2 linked regions of the Canis lupus familiaris genome follow. The protein of the gene in region 1 interacts with the protein of each later gene in a biochemical or structural test. Links are inferred from orthologs where the notes say so. Each region holds a gene or a part of one and is shown in the gene's direction. Other genes may lie near its edges.

Evidence for each region.
Region 2: the proteins of EZR (region 1) and ICAM3 form a complex in vitro, tested with the Homo sapiens proteins (2 studies listed by BioGRID). The link is inferred for Canis lupus familiaris from reciprocal best matches to the Homo sapiens genes EZR and ICAM3.

What each region holds. Positions count from the first base shown.
Region 1 is NC_049222.1:48,698,089-48,708,154, reverse strand, and holds the start of EZR (ezrin), read left to right. Parts: upstream 1-4,889; 5' UTR 4,890-5,028; coding exon 5,029-5,040; intron 5,041-10,066. UniProt on the Homo sapiens protein: Probably involved in connections of major cytoskeletal structures to the plasma membrane. In epithelial cells, required for the formation of microvilli and membrane ruffles on the apical pole. Along with PLEKHG6, required for normal macropinocytosis.
Region 2 is NC_049241.1:51,170,163-51,180,196, forward strand, and holds the start of ICAM3 (intercellular adhesion molecule 3), read left to right. Parts: upstream 1-4,266; 5' UTR 4,267-4,281; coding exon 4,282-4,310; intron 4,311-4,709; exon of another isoform or gene 4,710-4,961; coding exon 4,962-5,053; exon of another isoform or gene 5,054-5,058; intron 5,059-5,587; coding exon 5,588-5,854; intron 5,855-7,727; exon of another isoform or gene 7,728-8,844; intron 8,845-9,158; coding exon 9,159-9,464; intron 9,465-9,783; coding exon 9,784-10,034. UniProt on the Homo sapiens protein: ICAM proteins are ligands for the leukocyte adhesion protein LFA-1 (integrin alpha-L/beta-2). ICAM3 is also a ligand for integrin alpha-D/beta-2. In association with integrin alpha-L/beta-2, contributes to apoptotic neutrophil phagocytosis by macrophages.

The sequences.
Region 1 (10,066 bases):
AAAAGAAGCTATGCTTTTAGAGAGTTTATTAGTCAAAAAGTTGTGTGGTCACTAATACTCTCCTACATAAAACTTGTAGGGTTATTTATGTAAATTTTTAAATAAGCCAAGGAAACTTTCAAATAGAACACCGAGTGGCCAGATTTCTCAGTGGACCCAAATGATGGAAGCTGTGCCATCAAGATAGTACCAAGAGACTCCTAGTATATTGCCCTGTGAAGACCCTTAAACATTATTTCTAGACACAAGGCAGCAGCCACCTGTCAGACCGTCAGGGTTCTTACTCAAACTTTGCTCCTGAATTTTCACACAAGGTTACTGAGTCCTGAAAAATAACCTCAATCGTTGTTTGGCCAAGGGTACCCTACGTATTTCCCTATTGCCTATTGACCGCTCTGTTGAAGTGAAAGGAGCTAGAGATGGTCATACTATTTGTGAACTTTTTTTTTTTTTTTGGTTGAGATAACCTGGCACCAGTGTGGAGACTGGCTCGGGGGTGATCTCATAGGAAAGCTGCCCTCGGCTAGATCAGGGAATGGTATCTAAGACTGTTGGCTCCGGGTTTTCTTACTTCCTCCCATGATATTGATTAATAAACGTGAACAAAAACCATGGCTTAGAAAAGACAGAGGTATAATTTCACAGAAGAATTGTGAAGAGAGAGACAATAAATAATATTGTCAGGATCCTGATACATCTTAAGTCAGCTGTTCTGAAATTTTGGTATGCATCAGATTCACCTGGGGGCTTGCTAAAACCATAGAGCCCAGGGTTTACCTGAGCCTTACTGGCTTGTGATTCCTGGAGGGGGCTCCTTGAATGATTCCAAGGCAACTGAAGCTTCAGGGCCACTGTCCTAAGCAATTCTCTCTCTCTCTCTCTCTCTTTTTAATATTATTTATTTATTCATGAGAGACAGAGAGAAGCAGAGACATTGGTAGAGGGAGAAGCAAGCTCCCTGCGGGGAGCCCGAAGTGGGACTCATCCCAGCCACCTGGGGATCATAACCTGAGCCAAAGGCAGATGCTCAATCACTGAGCCACCCAGGTGCCCCTGTCCTAAGCAATTCTCATAGATGCCTTGGAATTGGTTCTTCTGTGTGTGTTGGGGAGGGCGGGGGCAGGGAAGGAGTTTAGGTCCCAATGTCAGATGAAAATAAATTACCCCTGGTAAATCCTCTTAAAACACTCATAAGATACAGCAGGAATGTTTTTGCAGAGGAAGAAAACCCTGTAGAGCAGCACGTAAGGATAATGCTTACAGTAAGACACATGAGGAATGCGTATGCAAACTATATCTTTATACTATTCTAACTTACAGGAGAAAAGTATGCCTAGAAGTCAAAATGCTCAAAAAAAAAAAAAAAGCAAAATTAAATGCTCCATTTTATGACTTAGTGACACAAAAACACCATGAAATATATATTATAAAGTCCATTTTACGGATGAAGAAGTGGGAGCTCAGTCACTTTAAAGAGATTTGCCCGAAATGATTGGCATGTCAGTAATGGAACCAAGATTCAGACTTAGTTCTGTTTGCTCTTTTCATTAAACTTTTTGAGATAACTGTAGATTCACATGTTGTAAGAATGCAATCTTTTCATTTTGATCACACTGCCAGAGGCCAGTTCTTTTTTTTTTTTTTTTTAAAGACTTTGAGATAGAGAGTGAGAGTGCACAAGTCGGAGGTGGGGAAGGGGCAGAGGGAGAAGCAGGCTCTCCACTGAGCAGGGAGCTCAATGTGGGACTCAATCTCAGGACCCCGGGATTATGAACTGAGCAGACTCTTAACCCACTAAACCACCCAGATGCCCCAAGGGCCAGTTCATTTTTAAGCATTCCCCTGAAGGGTAAAGTTCAGAAATGCTTCAGAAGGTCTTGGGCCACTGCTCTTTTAAACATCTAATTTAAAAGACAATATGCTAGGGGCAGCTGGGTGGCTCAGTGGTTGAGCATCTGCCTTTGGCTCTGGGCATGATCCCGGGGTCCTGGGATGGAGTCCCATATCAGGCTCCCCGCGGGAAGCCTGTCTCTGCCTATGTCTCTGCTTATCTCTCTGTGTCTCTCATAAATAAAAAAATAAAATCTTTAAAAGAATAAATGAAAAAAAACCTATGTGCTATAAACTGGGTAAAAAAAAACAAAACACAAAAAACAATAGATCAGAAGCACAGTGTCAGGAGAGTTGGAACCAAAAATGGCTCCCAAGGCTCCAGGCAGTGATAAGGAGGGAGAGAGGGTGTGCGAGGAGGACATGTCCAATCGGAACCATTGTCACGGTAGGTTATTTAATATCTTTTCATAGTTTTTTCCTACTGCACTTACCCTTCCATCTCCATTTTAATATTAAAGTCTCTCAGAATAAACGCACTTGTCAGAATACAGGACAAAGGCCTCGGGCCTCACCGGGGCCTCTGCCCTGCTGTGGACCTGCAGCTGAGAGAGGGTCACAGGTGCCTACTGACAAGGGTTACCCCATCAGTGGTCTGTCCCTGTGGCAGGTTAGGCATTAGGAGGAAGCCCTCACTGTGTTAGGTACTTAGCATGCATGATCTCATTTAATCCCTAAAGCCCACAGAGTATCTCCATTCTACACAGCAGGAAACGGAGTCTTATTTGGTGCTTTGCCAAAGTGACCGGCTACTCTTTGTACCAGGGCAGATTTAAGCCCTGTTCTAGGCATCTTACATATATTACCTCTAATCCCCATAAGGACTCCATGAAAAGGGTGCCATAATTATGCCATTTTGCAGATGCGAAAGCACTAACTTATTTAAATAACTCTCTCAGCCCAAGAAGTTAGTGGTGAGCCCAGGAAGGGAATCCAGGAGAGGCTCTGGTCTCAAGCCTGAGCCGGCATCACAACCACCTGGACGCAGGAAGGCGCAGACTGCTGGGCCCCAGCCCCAGTTTCGGACTCCGGGGGCGGCCCCTGTGAATTTCCGCTTCTGCAGGTTCACAGGTGAGGTCGGAGCTGCTGGTCTGAGGACACAGCCCTAGAGTCCGCTGCCTTAGTCACTGTGCAACAAATCCCAGGGGCCACCGAAGTACACGTGTTTTTAAAAGTTCCTCTTGGGGAGCGTGTGCAAAAATTATTGAAAATGATTCCCAGAATCTCTGCCCGCGGAGATTTTACCATAGTCCGCGGTGAGTCAAGTCAGACGAGACCGCACCGTGTCCCCGACGCCGAGCGCTCGGCCGCGGGGCGCCTTCTCCCGCCGAACCCGAAGGCAGGGGCGCGGCCCACGTGCGCCCCGACGCAGCGGCCCCGCCCGCGCCCCCAGCGGCCTGCCCGGGCACCCCACCGCGGCCGCCCGCGCGCCCAGCTTTTTTGACGTTATTTTGGTGTCCCTTGGCCCTCCGTGGAGCGAACGGTCTCACGCCTTAGGCGTCTGCAGCCAGAGACACCGCAGTGGGGTCAGACTCGGCCACGCTCTCGGCGAGCGGGCGCGCCCACCCGGGTCCCCGCCGCCCTGGGGGAAGCCGGCGGCGAGGGGCGCCCCGGGGCCGGGCCGCAGCCATGTTGCGCGCCGGGAGCGCCTGGCGGGGCGGGCGGGGCGGTTAGGGGCGCGGCCCCGGGACCCCGCCCCGCCGAGGACTCTCGGGAGCTCGCGCGGCGGGCGCACAGCGCGGACACACCGGCAGCGGGGAGCGCGCGGTCCTCTGCAGGCGCCGCGGGTGAGCGGGCGCGTGGCCCGGGCGGGGGGCGGCGGGCGGCGGGCGGCGGGGTTCGCGCCCCGAGGGGGGCAGGTGTGGCGCGGCCGGCCGGGGGGGTGCGCGGGCCCGGAGCCGGTGGTCCTGGGAAGAGCCGCGCTCGCCCCGCCGCCTGCCGGGCTCGGGGTCCCCTCGGCTCTGTCTCCGGGCGCAAGCAAGCGGCAGGTGGAGCTGAGCCTGCAGGTGTGGCCGCCCCCGCCGCTCCGGCCCGTCCGCCGTCGGCTCCGTCCCCCAAGTGCCCGCCGAGCCCGGGCCGCGTGGGCGCGCGTCCTGCCCGGCCCCTCCCGCCGCGCCCGGCCCGCGGCCCTCCGGCCCCTCCGGGGCGGGGACCATTTTTAAAAAGTGTTTCTCAAAGGCTTGACGGTTGCGGTTTCAGCCGTGGGGCAAACGGTTGCTTCACAAAGTGAAACTTGGTGTCTGCTGGGCTCGGGGCTGGCTTCCTGGAAGTCCGGGGAGCACCTCGGAGGACGCCCCGCCCGCTTGCGCGTCCCCGAGTGGGGCCCCCTCCGCCGGGCCCCCTCCCCACTAGGTCCCCTCCACCCGGGCCACCTCCCTCGGGGTCTCCTCCCCACTAAGTCCCCACCCCCGGGCTCCCTCCCCAGTAGGTCCCCACCCCCCCGGGCCCCCACCCCCCGAGGTCCCCTCCCCACTAGGTCCCCTGCCCCGGGGCCCCTCCGCCGGGGCCTCCTCCCCACTAGGTCCCCTCCTCCGGGCCCCCTCCCCACTAGGTCCCCACCCCCGGGCCCCCTCCCCACTAGGTCCTCACCCCCCGGGCCCCCTCCCCACTAGGTCCCCTCCACCCGGGCCCCTTCCCCACTAGGTCCCCTCCACCCGGGCCCCCTCCCCACTAGGTCCCCACCCCCCCGGGCCCCCACCCCCCGAGGTCCCCTCCCCACTAGGTCCCCTGCCCCGGGGCCCCCTCCCCACTAGGTCCCCTCCACCCGGGCCCCCTCCCCTCTGGGTCCCCACCCCCCCGGGCCCCCTCCCCTCTAGGTCCCCACCCCACCCACGCCCCCTGCGCGGGCCTCCTCCCCACCAAGTCCCCACCCGCGCCGGGCCCCCTCCCCCTTCCCCCGGTCCCCTCCCCCGCGGGGCCCGCCCGGCCCGCCGTAATTGCAGGTTGGGCGGTGACTCAGGCGGGCGCCCGCCCGGCCGGTTCTTAAGCGGCAGCGCGGGGCGGGCGCGGAGAGTCGGGCGAGGCGGCGGCTGCGCGCGCTGAAGGGCGTCCGTCTGCTGCAGGTCCCGGGAGCGGTCTCAGCTGCTGCGGCCGAGTCGAGTTTCCAGCGGAGTGAGGAAAGCCCGCGAGGAACCCAAGATGCCGAAGCCAGTAAGCGGCCGGGACCCCGGGGCGGGGGCGGGCTTCGTGGGTCGGGGAGGGAGCTCGCGGGGGCCGCGCGCCCTGCGGTCCTTCTGTTCGGGAGCCCCCCCCCCCCCCCCCGCCCCAGGAGTTTATGCTCTTTTGTAAAAGAAAGTTCGGCCTGCTTGAAAACTCTATTCTAACGTCGCTCGGAAGTTTCTCAATAAGAAGTTGTCCAGGTGACGGAGGGGCCGCTGGCTTCCGACGACGCCCGTCGGCTCGAGTCCTTGGGTGGGTCGGGACCGGACCCGCCCACGCCCTGCTCTGGGGCCTGAGCGGCCGGGCTCGGGCTCCGTCTTTCTGGCTGCAGCTGCCTGCCAGCCGCGCTCCGCGCCCCCGGGGGTGCTGGTGGCTGCAGGATCCCTGTCCCTGACAGAGGTTGGGTAGTGACCTGAGTCGCCGATGAAGGAGGGCGGCCCTGCTCTCCGGTCGTGCGCCCCGGGGCCGCCTCGTAAACGTCCGCACCCTGGTCCCCTGAATCTGATTGTGTTGCTCCCAGGGTTAGATCCCCGCCCAGGCTGGGGGGGGAGGGGGGACGTTCATTTAGTGGGGGGAGCAACGCAGGTTCTTTGTGACCAGCATTTCTTGGAAAGCTGTCTGTATCTACCTGCTTTAACACAGGGGAACTGTGGCTAGATGTTGGGGAGAGGATTTGACATTTTTTTAAAGGTTTTGACTCAGGATGGAAGAAGATACGTGCATTCATTACAAATTGCACTTAAAGATATAGAATTCTAGTTTTTCAAACGAGTTCGTTCTGTAGTCCATGCTAATGCATTTTCCAGCAGCAAGTCGTAGAGTCTCTAAAAGGAGTTCTTTATTAATCAAGGGTTTACTGTTAGATTAAATAAATTACTATGTTAATATGCTATCAGCTTCAGAAACCAATATAGTTTTTGTCTAGATTACATAATTAAGATGATTGATTCGTGCTGCAGAAAATGTTTTTTCCTACGCAAAACTCTTCTTTTTGTTTCACACTTGGCACATGGCACCCAGGCTTTACAATGCCTGTGATGTAAAACTGATGTAAACTCAACCAGTTACTCAGGGCACAGCCCCATGCAGCCTTTTGCTGAGCAGCCGTCAAGACGTTACCGTAGGTATTGGTTTTCTTTATTTCACTGAAAACAGGCAGAGTTTAGCTTTTAAGATATCACTCTGAAAAAAGGCAGTAAACCAGTTTCCTGTCACTGCTTTTCTTTCTCATTTCTCAAAATGATCTGTGATTTCTTTTATTCTTTTTATTGCAGTAAATATACGTAAAAATACAATTTGTTATCTTAATCATTCTTTTTTTTATTTTATTTTATTTATTTATGATAGTCACAGAGAGAGAGAGAGAGGCAGAGACATAGGAAGAGGGAGAAGCAGGCTCCATGCACCAGGGAGCCCGACATGTGGGATTCGATCCCGGGTCTCCAGGATCGCGCCCTGGGCCAAAGGCAGGCGCCAAACCGCTGCGCCACCCAGGGATCCCCATCTTAATCATTCTTAAGTGTATAGTTCAGTGGCATAGGTATATTCACCACCACCATCCATCTCTACAATTTTTTATCTTTTGAAACTGAAACTCTAACCATTAAATACTAACTCCCCATCCTCTCCCCCAGCCCTTGGTACCCACCCTTATACTTCCTGTCTCTACCACTTTGACTACTCTTAAGGTCCTCATATAAGTGGAATCACACAATATGGTCCTTTTGAGACTGACTCACATCACTAGTATACTGTCTTCAAGGTTCATCCATGTCGTAGCATGTGTTAGAATTTCCTCACTTTTTTAAGGCTCTTTTTTTTTTTTTTTTTTACTACTTACGGCAGGTATATTTTAATTGTATAAAGATAGATACATTTGAATGGTTGGGGTTTTGGGCTTCTACCTGAATCCTTGAATTCAGCAGGCACAGTAATTTTGATTGATATCTAAACTGTCAGTAGACAACTAAAACAGTGTGAATGAAATATTTATTTGCTGTTTTTTCTCAGTATTACTTCTCGAATCACCACTTGTTAGATTGGGTGTTCACTCATTTAGCAAGCATCTGTCCTGCAAGCTGTGTGCACAAGGCGTGGATAGGTGAGACCAAGCTTGTCTCCGGGGAGCTTATAGTCTAGGACCCAAGCCAGAACACGCACGAATGCTGAAGTAGAAGCTGGAATACTGAGTACCACCAAAGAGGGGGAGAGGCTTAGGTCAAGTGCAACACCGTTGGGAGGAAAACCATCCCATGGGGAAATGCGTAGACTTTATTGAAGTTATCCTTCAGCTGAGAAGTTACCCTTCAGCTAAGTCTTGCTCGAGGGCTGTGGGTAGGATTTGATCAGCGTGGGTACTCCACGGGAGGCACTATTATCTGGTTTTGCTTTTCCCACAACTGTTTTGGGGCTCTACTCATGTAGACTTCCAAGGAGGAGGGTTTGAGGTCCAGAAGACACCACACCCTCTGCTCAGCTGATTGTTTGACCTTGTGGGCCCCTCTCATCTGGGGAGAGGCGCGGGGGGTTTGTGTCCAAGGATCTGGCTCAGGAAGCAGGCCTTGTGCCAGTGGTTCAGCCAAGGGTGACCTGGGGTCCTCCTTCCTCTTTACTTCTTAACTACCACACTTGCTTTCTTCATTGTGATAGGAAGGAGGCATAGGGCGGTAGAAAGGAAAACCACAGCAGTCAAGTTTAGGAATGATGCAAGCCAAGCTCTCTTAAATCTTTTCTGAGCTTAAGGGGTACTGGCAGATGCTGTAACTTCATTTCTAAAGTTTTGATGTGAAAGTTTTTAATATAAAAGATTTTTCCTTTCCGTAGGAAAACTGAAAGCATGTTCAAAATTCCACCCTGTGCCAAAATGTTAAGATAATTTCTGAGATTACTTTGCCTCTCTGGGAATATATAGCCTTTTCCACTAAATTTTTTTTCTGTACCCACTGTGGAATAAGTCCTTGTTTCTTAGCTTCATGTTGCAGGTTCCTGGTCTATAAAATGGGGCTGCTGGCAGTACCTAATTCATAATGGTACATGAGACAGTTAATGTCCATTAAATATTTTAACAGACAGGATTTACTGAATCTACTGGTTCATTTTCCAGCAAACCCCCCCCCCCCCCCCCCCCCCCCCCCGCCCCAATCAATTGAGGAGGACACATGGGATGTGTTTTCTGTGTATCCCTCCTTCACCGCGGGCAGATGGTGAATTAGATAGCTAAGATTTTCCCATGTGGTGAGAAGTGCTGGCTAGGATTAGTCATTTATCATCACACTGTTTGTAAGGCACAGTGAGTCTATTTGTACATTCATCCATTAGTTCAGCAGGCATTTATGCATTATTCTGCTAGAAGTTGAGGCTACCAAGATGAGCAGACACAGAAATATTCCCTGGCGTCGTGGATTTACAGTCTGGTGATTGGAACAGACAGTAATCCTAGAATAACTTGAGTGCATATAATGGCGTTTCTGTGGTGGTTATTGGCAGAAGTGTTAGGGAAGACAGGAAGGCACCCCAGGAGGTGATGACTGTTCAAGCAATGTGAGGAATGGAGGGGTCTTTACTAGGTGAAGGAGGGAAGCCAGAGCAAAACAGCTAGAGGGAACAACTTGTACAAAGGTCCTGTGGTGGGAGGGGAGTAGGATGAGTTCAGGGTTCTAGATGAGAATGTGTATGGCTAGAGAGGAATATCAGGCCAGCTGTGCAGAGCCTAGCAGGCCATAAGAGGGCATTTTCAGGACTTAATTCAGGGGGAAACACTGAAGGGTTTTGATTGGAAGGAATTTGGCTTTTGAAAGGTCATTTCAGCTGCACTAAGAGAATCAGTAGGAGGGAGGAGGTGAAGGTGCAAGGGTAGACTCTTGGAATAGCGTGGACCATGGGAGTGTGATGCAAATGGAGAGAAGTGGATGTGTTTGGGAGCTCTTTGATAGGACTTGGTGGGTAAATTGGGTGCAGAGGGCAGAGTGTAGCTGACTTCTGGAGTCTGGCTTGCATAACTGGTTGGATGGTAGTGCCATTCACCGAGATAAGGAACCTGGAAGAAGACCAGGTGTGGAAGGGAGGGTTGAGAGTTTGGTTTGTACTTGCTGACAAATTTGTGACTGTGATCAATGAAAGGAGTCCTTGCCTTCTTCCATGTTTATAATTGCAACCTCCTAAAATACATACAAATGTCAGTATTTTTCTTAAACTACAGTGTGTTTTAAATTCACATAGACTAAAAGTAATCCAGCTTCATCACACGTGTATACTGCACACACATAAAGTTAAAAGTTAGGTTTTCATGCTTTATTCTCAAACTTTGGCATATGTAATTCTCTGGACACCTGAAGATTCCCGGGTCCCTCACAGTACTACTGAATCCCCATCTTTAGGGCCAGGTGCTTTCAGTAAGCTCTCCCCAGATGGATCTGATGGACTTTGGGAACTGCTGATTTCATAAGGAAAAGGTAGTTTATATATTCATTCCCTCGGAATCTCTGCGATGCAGGGAGGCCCTCTTGATGGGTGGGGTTGATGCCGATGGTTGTGTGTGAGCAGAGACCAGAACCCATGGTATGTTTAGGGGGACAGCAAAACCCAGTGTGATTCCAAAGCATCCATTCAGGCAAATGTTCATGCAGGCTTGGGAGTGGATATTGAGTCGCCTTCTTGAAGTTAGTTGCAACTTAAATGCCATGGGTGCCATCACTGGTATTTGGAATGTGGCTGGGGTGGGGATGAAGAAGATAACTGGATGGATCTCAAACTCCAGAAAGACAGGAGCTAAGATGTCTAATTGGATCTCTCTGATTCAAACTTATCTCTGCAGGAGTCCAGTTGCAGAGCTTAATTTGGCAGTGACCAGTGGGCTCTCTCAAATTTTGGTTTTCTTGTTTTTAAAGGGGAAATAGAGGCAGCCATTGTTCATTAAATAGCAGGGAAGAGAGATCCCATTCCTCATTCCTCTTTTTCTCTTCTGGTCTTCCACACTGGCTTCTCTGGTTAGTCACTGTCCTAAGTAGTAATGTGATTT
Region 2 (10,034 bases), on another chromosome or scaffold:
CACAGGAAGCCTGCTTCTTCCTCTGCCTATGTCTCTGTCTCTCATTAATAAATAATAACACCTTTTTTTTTAAGAAATGATCATGCTTATTCTTGTGTAGCTACTTATTTAAAAATATATATGGACCATTTACAGCATATGCAAAACAGGGAATTATAATGTAACAAACCTGAACTTAACAGCCAACACGAGCAGTTTCTGATACCCATTGCCAGTCTAGTTTCAGCTCTACCCCATCCCTACCCCAGCCACTGGAGACTTTTGAAGCAAATCGCAGACATCATTTCACCTGTATGCATCTTGAAGAGACAGACCACAAACAGTACTGTCATTATCACACCTAAAAAGCTTCAAAATAATTCCTCAATATTTTTGTGTAGCCTGTAGGTGTTTGGATTCCCCCAATGATTTCTTAAATATTTAGTGTTTGTTTACAGTTGGTTCCAATAAAAATGCAAACAAGGCCCATGGTCCTGCAGTGGATTAAGGGCACCCTCCTTGAAGTTCTAGGCTCCTCTTTTCTTTTTTTCCCCCTTGCAATACATCCCTGGATGGCGCAGCGGTTTGGCGCCTGCCTTTGGCCCAGGACGCGATCCTGGAGACCAGGGATCGAATCCCACATCGGGCTCCCGGTGCATGGAGCCTGCTTCTCCCTCTGCCTGTGCCTCTGCCTCTTTCTCTCTCTCTCTCTGTGACTATCATAAATAAATAAATTAAAAACAAAAAAAAAGATACTGGATTGTTCGTCCTGTAGGGATTCTCAGTCCCATGTCACCCCTGTGGTGTAGTTTAACATGTTCCTCTGTCCTCACCTTGACCAACCAATGGTCAGGTTCAGTTTCCATTTCTTGGGTAGACTTTTACAAAAGGCATTGTGCCTTCTCAGCAGGAGGCACTCGAAGTCAGCTTGTCGCTCCTTTTGAGACTCAAGCAGCCACTCAGATCCATCAAGGATCCAGTTTTTATTTTCCAACATTTTTGTACTGAAGCATTGTTAAGGGGCGCCTGGGTGGTTCAGTCAGTTAAGCATCTGACTCGATTTCAGCTCAGGTCATGATCTCAGGGTCATGAGATGGAGCCCCATGTCCAGCTCCACACTGAGTGTTGAGCTTACTTGTCCATCTCCCTCTGCTCCTCCCTTCCACTCATGTGCGCATGCACTTGTTGCTCGCTCTTAAATAAATAAAACCTTAAAATAAAAAGTTAGAAGAGCAATACAGTGAATACCTTTAGCTTCCATAATTACCTGAATTGCCAAATTTACCTGCTTAAATGTGCTTGATCATACTGGATCTATCCATTCCTCTATTCATCCAGCAATCCATCTCATGTCTTGGATACAAATCAAAATAAGCATATGTCTTTTATTTTTCTGTGGTAAAATAAACAAAATATAACTCTTGGGGTGCTTGGGTGGCTCAGTTGGTTAAGAGCCTACCTTCAGGGCAGCCCAGGTGGCTCAGCAGTTTAGTGCCACCTTTGGCCCAGGGTATGATCCTGGAGACCTGGGATCGAGTCCTGTGTTGGGCTCCCGGCCTGGAGCCTGCTTCTCCCTCTGCCTGTGTCTCTGCCTCTCTCTCTGTCTCTCATGAATAAACAAATAAAATCTTAAAAAAAAAAAGAGCCTGCCTTCAGCTTCAGGTCATGATCCCAGGGTCCTGGGATTGACCCCCATATCAGGCTCCCTGCTCACCACGGAGCCTGGTTCTCCCTCTCTCTCTGCCCCTCCCTACTCTCACTCCTGCTCTCTCTCAAATAAACAAAATCTTTAAAAGCACACACACACAAAAAAAAACCCAACGAAATATAAATCTTACCATTTTAACCATTTTTTAGGTGTATGGTTCAGTGGCATTAAATGTATTCACAATGTTGTGTAACCAACAGCACTGTGTACAGAACTTTTTCATCTTCCCAAGCTGTTTCCATTAACACGGACTCCCCATTCCACTCCTCCCTCAGCCCCTGGTAACCACCACTCTACTTTTTTTTTTTTTAAAGATTTATCCATTTATTCATGAGAGAGAGAGAGAGAGAGAGAGAGAGAGAAGCAGAGACATAGGCAGAAGGAGAAGCAGGCTATCCGCAGGGAGCCCAATATGGGACTCGATCCCAGATCCTGGGATCATGCCCTGAGCTGAAGGCAGACACTCAACCGCTGAGGCCCCCTAGTGTCCCACCATTCTACTTTCTCTACGAATTTGTCTGTTCTAGGTACCTACCTCATGAGTGGACTATCTGTCCTTTTGTGCCTGGCTTATTTCACTTGGTGTACTGTTTTTGAGGTTCAGCCATGCTGTAACATGTTAGAACTTTTTCTTTGTAGGGCTGAATAATATTTGACTCTATGTATATGCATATGTATATACCATATATTTTTTTTTATCCATTCATCTGCTGATGGACACTCAGGTTGCTTCTACCTTTCAGCTTTTGTGAAGAGTGCTGCTGTGGACATCGGTGTACATATATGTATTTGTTTGAGTCCCTTTAGGATATACCTACCTAGGAGTGGTCATATAATTCTACATTTTTGTTGGTTTGCTGGGTAATATAATTCTACATTTTTGTTGGTTTGTTTTATAACTCTATGTTTAACTTTTTGAAGAGAGCCGCTCAACTGGTTTCCCCAGTGCCTGCACCATTTTATATTCCCACCAGCAGAGTAGGGGAGTTCCAACTCCTACACATCCTTGTTGACAATTGTTTTCTGCAGGGTTTTTTGGTTTATTTTTTTGATGATAGCCATCCTAATAGTTGTGAAGTGCTATTGCATTCTGGTTTTGATTTGCATTTCCCTAAAGACTAGTAATCTTCAGCATCTTTTTTTGTGTGTGTTTATGGGCCATTTATATAGTGTCTTTGAAGAAATGTCTATTCAAGTCCTTTGCCCATTATTTTATTTTATTTATTGTTTGCTGTTGAGTTGTGGTCTTGTATTTGTGTCTCCCCCACCCCCAAGAATATCGAGCTCTTGTGCTAATGCCTTTAGACCCTTCCTAGAAGTCCCCCCAAGTATCCTCTTGAAATATTGCCTTGAAATCCTACCTTGGGGGCAGCCAGGTGGCTCAGCGGTTTAGCGCCACCTTCAGCCCAGGGTGTGATCCTGGAGACCCAGGATTGAGTCCCGCATCGGGCTCCCTGCATGGAGCCTGCTTCTCCCTCTGCCTGTGTCTCTGCCTCTCTCTCTCTCTCCCTCTGTGTGTGTGTGTGTGTCTCATGAATAAATAAATAAAATCTTTAGAGAAAAAAAAAAGGAAATCCACCTTATCACCTCAAGGACAGTGCTGGAGATCCCCTGTTAACTTCCTCTGTAACTTCCAAGAATTTCTATAACCTGGAGATAAGCCCTTGACAGATATACAGGTTTCCCCAGCCACGCGTGGGTAAAGCGTTCCTATGAAATCTTTCGTAAGTCAAAACAGCCTAAATAAAGTGGGACGTCTGGGTGGCTCAGCAGTCGGGCATCTGCCTTTGGCTCGGGATGTGATCCCTCGGTCCCAGGATCGGGTCCCACATCAGGCTCCCTGCGTGGAGCTTGCTTCTCCCTCTGCCTGTGTCTCTGTCTCTGTGTGTCTCTCATGAATAAATAAACTCTTTTTAAAAAAACCAATAGACTGGTGGAGAAGCCTTGGTGGCGCCACTCTTCCCGGGGGGCACTTCCTCTATAATGTCCACTGTAAAACCAGTGTTGAATACTATTTTTGCTTTCATCTTTTCTCATAAAAGGGAAAATTATCATCACCTTTCTTTTGGCTAACAAAAAAGAGGTACTGATGGAGGGCTTTCATAACAGTGAAGTGGCGTAACGGAACTTTAGAAAAGTGAGGGAGACCAGTATTATTTACAAATAGTTTTGATTTGGGTTTTGGTCACTCTCTCAGGATATTGTGGGAGATGGGTGGTTGGGAGGGGCAGCAGGGGAGAGGCCACATGGGATGGGGGGATGGTCCAGTTCAGAGAGGAGGGGGCATGGCCTTAGGATGGGGAGATGGTTGGATGCTGGGTGCCATCGGGGACCTCAACGAGGTTTCTTTCTGGAGCTCGGATCAGAGGCACAAAGGAAGGTCAAAACTCGAGAGATGGAGCAAGTGGAAATTGGTGTAACCATCTGGCCCCCCAGTCCATTTTTGGGGTGTGGAGAAGCCAGCTGCCTGGAGTAGCATGCAAGGAGGTCATAAGGACGGTGCTGAGGGCCAGTTATAAGGGGCATCTTCGACAGTCAGTGGTTCGGGATTCAGCTGTGCTCCAAACACCCCACCTCAGCATGGACCACAGGGAATGGGGGAGACCGTTGGAGATCTTCAAAGGTAAAGGGCCCCATAGCAGCCATGCAGACAGGTCAACACAGAGCCAGGCACAAGGGCCCAATCGATGTGGACTCTGCTCATTTCCATGTCTTCACTCATCTTAGGGGTCCCTCATCGCCCCCACACCTCTTATTTGCCTCATCCCAGGAATATGGAGAGCTCATGCTGATGCCTTTACACCCCGCATAGACGTCCCCTCCTTGTCCTCCTGAAACGTTGCCTTGAAATCCCACCTTATCACCTCAACGACAGTCCCGGTCTGGAGATCCCCTGCTAACTTCCTCTCTGAAACAGAACACCCCTCTTTTACCCAAGTTCAGCAGGAAGGAGGTGTCTCACCTCCTCCACCTCACCCCAGTCTTCCTAGTTCAGAGAACAAAGATAACCGCGTGAACATTTCCTGTTGGTTCATTTGGAGGCTCAGCAGTTGAAGTCAGGCCTTCCCTGTCCAAGACTCACCAGCCACCACGTCCAGCTGGCCGGGTGCCCTACTCTGGACCCCCTGGGCCACAGAATATCTCTCCTGCCCTCCCCAGCTCTGGGCAAAAAAGTAACCCCTGAACTTCTGCAATTTCGACAGTGACTGTGGTTCCGTCCCCGAGTGCTCTGCCTGCTTCCCCCTGCCCTCATTAAGGCAACTTCCTTTTGCAGCTTGGTCACCATGTTGCCCTCGGGGCTGCTGCTGGGGGCCTACGGGAACTCACTCATCTCCCTGCTTCTGGTCTGCTGTCTGCCGCCCTCAGGTGAGGCAAGTCAGGCTGGAGAGGGCTGGAGATGGGGGGCTGGTAGAGGCTGGGGGAGTAGGCAGGGAAGAGCACCCCCCTGCTGCCCTGGCTGCAGTGACACTTCCTTAAACTCACATCAACAGGGACTCTCCAGTGGCCTCAATAGAAAGTTCTGGCTCTTCACCTCAGCCTTTGGGGCTCCCCGAGGACTAGTTCCTGCATGTGACTTGTCTCCCACCCCAACACAGAATCCCTTTGGACCTCTGTCGCTACTCTTCCCTCTGCCAGGATCACTTTTCTTTCACTCAGATAACTTCTACTTTCCCTTCAAAACTGGCTTTGTCTCCTTCTTCTGGAAGGAGGGCTCACGGGCTGCATCAGGGTCTCCCCTAGTCTTTCTCTGGGCTTTCCCCCAGTTCCTGATCCATCATCTGTCTTCCCCACTCGACTGAGGCACCGTGAAGGCAGCGAGGTCATGTTGAAAGGTGGGGCCTGCAGGTGGGTAAGTAGGGGTACCCGAACAATCAGCAGAGTGTCCCTCTGTTTCCACAGGTGCCCGGGCACAGCAATACCAAATGAGGCTGGAGGTCGAGAACACTCTGGTGCCTGCTGGAGGGTCCTTCTTGGTAAACTGCAGTACAGACTGCCCCAATCCTCGACTCATCATTCTAGAGACATCCCTAGCCAAGAAGCCAGTGGGCAACGGCCTGGGCTGGGCAGCCTTCCTGCTAAGCAATGTGACTAGTGACAGCCAGGTCCTCTGCTCCGGCTTCTGCAATGACATCCAGATGGTAGGCTCCTCTGAGATCACAGTATACCGTGAGTGATGGCACCTAGAGTTGGGACTGGCCTTGGGCAGTAGTGGGGGTAGATGACCAGTGGTGCAGGGGGAGCAGGGAACCCCGAGTTTGCAGAGATGGACCAGTCCTCTGACCCAGAGTCTGAACCTGAATGTGTGTGTGTGTGTGTGTGTGTGTGTGAGAGAGAGAGAGAGAGAGAGAGATGCATCTCAACCATATGCCAAGGCAACAGCTGTGAGATCAATTTACTTGGTCCCAACAAGCATTTTTTCAAAGATGTCTCATGTCTGTTATTTATTTTATTCTTTTTTCTAAAAAGATTTTATTTATTTGAAAGAGGAAGAGAGCAAGAGAGAGAGAGAGAGAACACGAGCAGGGTGAGGGACAGAGGGAGAAGCAGACTCCCTGATGAGCAGGGAGCCTGATGCGGGGCTCAATCCCAGGACCCTGGGATCATGACCTGAGCTGAAGGCAGATGCTTAAGCAACTGAGCCCCCCAGGTGCCCCTATTTATTTTATTCTTATGGCAGGTAATAATTCATGCATGTGGTTCCAAAATCAAAAGTTATAACAAGGCATAAAAGTCAACCTCCATTTCCTCATTTCCTAGTGCTGGCTGGGAGTGCTCACTGTTTCAGTGTGGGCACTAGGTGCTCATCCAATCCTTAAAAAGCTCCAGGCTGGGGAGGTACACTTAGGAGCCTCCCTCCACAGATGAGGACCACAGAACTTAGTGGGGTAAAGTCACTTGGCAGGGCTCACAGTCCATGAGTGGAGAAGCCAGTCATCTGGCTCTCAAGTCCTTGCTCCTAACAGATGAGTCTATCTCCCCAGCTCCCATTGCTACCAGTTTCTTATGGTTCCTGCCAGAGTTTCTTTGCATTTAAAGGAATATGATGATCAGAAAATAGAGTATGTCACTCATGGTTCTTACTGTTTCGTGAAGCCTCCATAGATAAGTGTGGTATACGGATGTGACCATGTGTATGCTCCTGCTGCGGGCCAGCATCTGTGTTTGTCTGTGTACCTGTGTGTGTGTCTGTGAGTCTATGTATGTCTGTAGGAGTGTACATGTGTACCTACAGATGCATGAGCATCTGTCTGCCTATTTGTGTGTGCCTGTGTGGGTGTCTATGAGTCTCTGTGTGTGTGCGTGAATGTGAAAGTGAGTACGTTGATGTCAGGATCCAGGACTGTGTGTGAGTGCCTGTTTCTGTGTCAATAGGTGTCTGTGTGTGAGTCGATTTGGATGTGGGTGTGTCAGGACATGGTTCTGGCTCACAGGAGCCAATGGTACTCATCTCTTCCAAACCCTGGGCCACATTGTAGCTTAAAAGCAGCCAGGAAAAAAAAAAAAAAAAAAAAAAAAAAGCAGCCAGAGTGGGAGTTATGTACACTTTAGAGATTGGCAAGTCCTCCAGGTTGGGGCTATCCCACCACACCCCATCCCCTAGTTCCTGAGCATTAGTAGCATTTGCCAGCACATCATCATCTCTGACCAGTGGTGCCTGAGACTGAGATGGGGGCCTCTTTGTTAAGTACTCTGAAATTATAAATACAGGTTTCTCCAACTATCCCAAAGTAAAGCAGTCCTATAAAACCTTTGTAAGTCAAAATGATGTAGGGGCACCTGGATGGTTCGAGGCTGAGTGTCTACCTTTGGCTCAGGTCATGATCCCGGGGTCCTGGGATCAAGTCCCGCATCAGGGTCTCTGCAGGGAGCCTGCTTCTCCCTCTGCCTATGTCTCTGCCTCTCTCTGTGTGTTTGTCATGAATAAATAAATAAAATTGTTAAAAAACAAAATGATGTAAAGTGAAGAAGTAATTAATTTATATCGAAAAAACCTTGAGTATTCTCAGACCCAAAAACTAACCTCTCCTAGGCTTTTCTGGTACCATAGGATACATCTTGCTGATGGATGTACCAAATAAATGGAGCTAAAGCACCGATGCTCGCAGACACAAGTCAAAGCTCATCTGCTGCTAGAGACGCTGAGTGTGATCCTGGTGAAGGAGCTTGACCGCCATTGTCACTGCACAGGGTGCCTGCTGTCTTTGTAACTCCTCATTGCAAATCCAATGCTGAGTGCTATCTTTGCTTCTCACCAAATTTTTTTTTAAAGGTTTATTTATTTATTTATTTGAGAGAGAGCATAAGCAGAAGGGGCAGAGGGAGAGGGAGAGAGAATCTCAAGCTGACTCTGAGCTGAGCGCAGTGCCCAATACAGGGCTTGATCTCATGACCCTGAGATCATGACCTGAGCTGAAACCAAGGGTCAGAGGCCTAACCAATTATGCCAAGGCACCCTTTGTCATTTTTTCTTAAAAGCAAAAATCCTCTTTGCATTTCTTTTACTTAGTGAGAACAGGTACTAACAATTAATGTAGGTCTTTCATAAAAATGAAGTGGTGTAATGGTATTTTTGGAAAGCAGGGGATTCCTACAGTAAGATGTTAAAGATTTTTCATAGTAGCCAGGGTCATAGTTGAGATCAAGGTTTGAGTTGTTGAGGGTATACGATGCTTCCCAAAGGAGGCCCAGGGTTTGGTATACATGCCTGGGAGGGGCACTGTAGCTGCAGCTGGGAGCAGATCCAGCCTGGCAGTGTGGAGTCCCTCAAGACTGTGCCTGAGCACCCTGAGAGGCTTCCCTGTAAGAGTCTCAGGCGCCTGGGATTGACAGAGGAGGCCAAAGGCAGAGTCCAGGACAGAGGCTGGGAGAGGGGCCATTGGAGTCCCTGGATGTGACATCAAGGAGGCAGGTGTACACACTGGTCTGGAGTCTGGGTGACTCACCTTCTAACCCCAGCAGGGCTTCTTTCTGGCTACGTGTCTGTTCTTGGGTGGATCACCTCAACCCCACCTCTCTGGGCCTCAGTTTCTTCATCTATAAAGGAGAAGAATAATAGAGATTTCACTTGGTTGCTGTGTGAACGAAGGTGAATGACATTTGGAAAGTCTAAGGAAAACTCTAAATAAACAGGAACTTTTATGAGTACTAATAACATTGTAAGTAGTTCCAATTTAGTCCTCTTCCTTCCTTCCTTTTTTTTTTTTTTTTTTTTAACTGTGATTTTCTCAGGAACAGAAAATCTGACTTATTTCAGAGTCTGGCAGAGTATCCCACAAAACAGGAAATAGCAATCATAATACTAATGACAATAGCAAACACTTCTCCAGACACAGTATTAAGCCCTTCGAGTTGATTAACCCAAAGTTCAGTTCTGCACCGGGTCACCCTCAGCCTCCTCCCTGTTCTGTGGGGGTAGGAGTTGCAGGGCCGGCTGATAAGTACACTTCTCCCCTCCCTACCCCCGCCCCAGGGTTCCCGGAGCGAGTGGAGCTGGCACCCCTACCCCGCTGGCAGCCCGTGGGTGAGAACCTCACCATGACCTGCCAGGTGGCAGGCGGGGCGCCCCGGACCAACCTCACGGTGGTGCTGCTCCGCGGGGAGGAGGAGCTGAGCCGGCAACCGGCCGTCGGGGAGCCAGCCGAGGTCACGTTCACGGTGGCGGCGGGCAGGGAGGACCACCTCGCCAACTTCTCGTGCCGCACGGACCTGGACCTGAGGCCCCGAGGGCTGGGATTGTTCCAGAACAGCTCGGCGCCCAGGCAGCTCCGAACCTTTGGTGAGGCACGGGACTGCAGAGGGTAGGTGATGAGCTGAGCCAGCGCAGGGGCGCCCTGGCCGGGAGGTTTCTTGACAATGGAGTGGACTGGACCCTCAGCGGCTCCGGGGAAGGCGTGCCCTTGGCCCCTGAGGCCGGTGCAGCCTCAGTTGGGAGCCTCGCGGCCGCGGTAGCTGACAAGAAGCCTGAGCAGGTGCGTCCTAGGAACAGGTGTCCTGGGAAGGCAGAAGCCTGGCTCGGGGCTGCGAACGTCTCAGGCGGTAAAGGGGCGCCGACGGCTCTGGGACCTCTTCCTGCTCACGCCTACCCTTCTCCCCAGCACTGCCCATCACGGCTCCGCACCTCGTTGTCCCTCGGATCTTGGAGGTGGGAACGACTCGGTCGGTGAACTGCATCCTGGAAGGATTGTTCCCGGCCTCCGAGGCCCAAGTCCACTTGGCGCTGGGGAACCAGACGCTGAACTCTACAGTCGAGAGCCACGGGGACACGATCAGTGCCACAGCCACAGCCGTAGCGAGAGCGGAGCAGGAGGGCGCACAGGAGATAGTCTGCAACATAACGTTGGGGAAC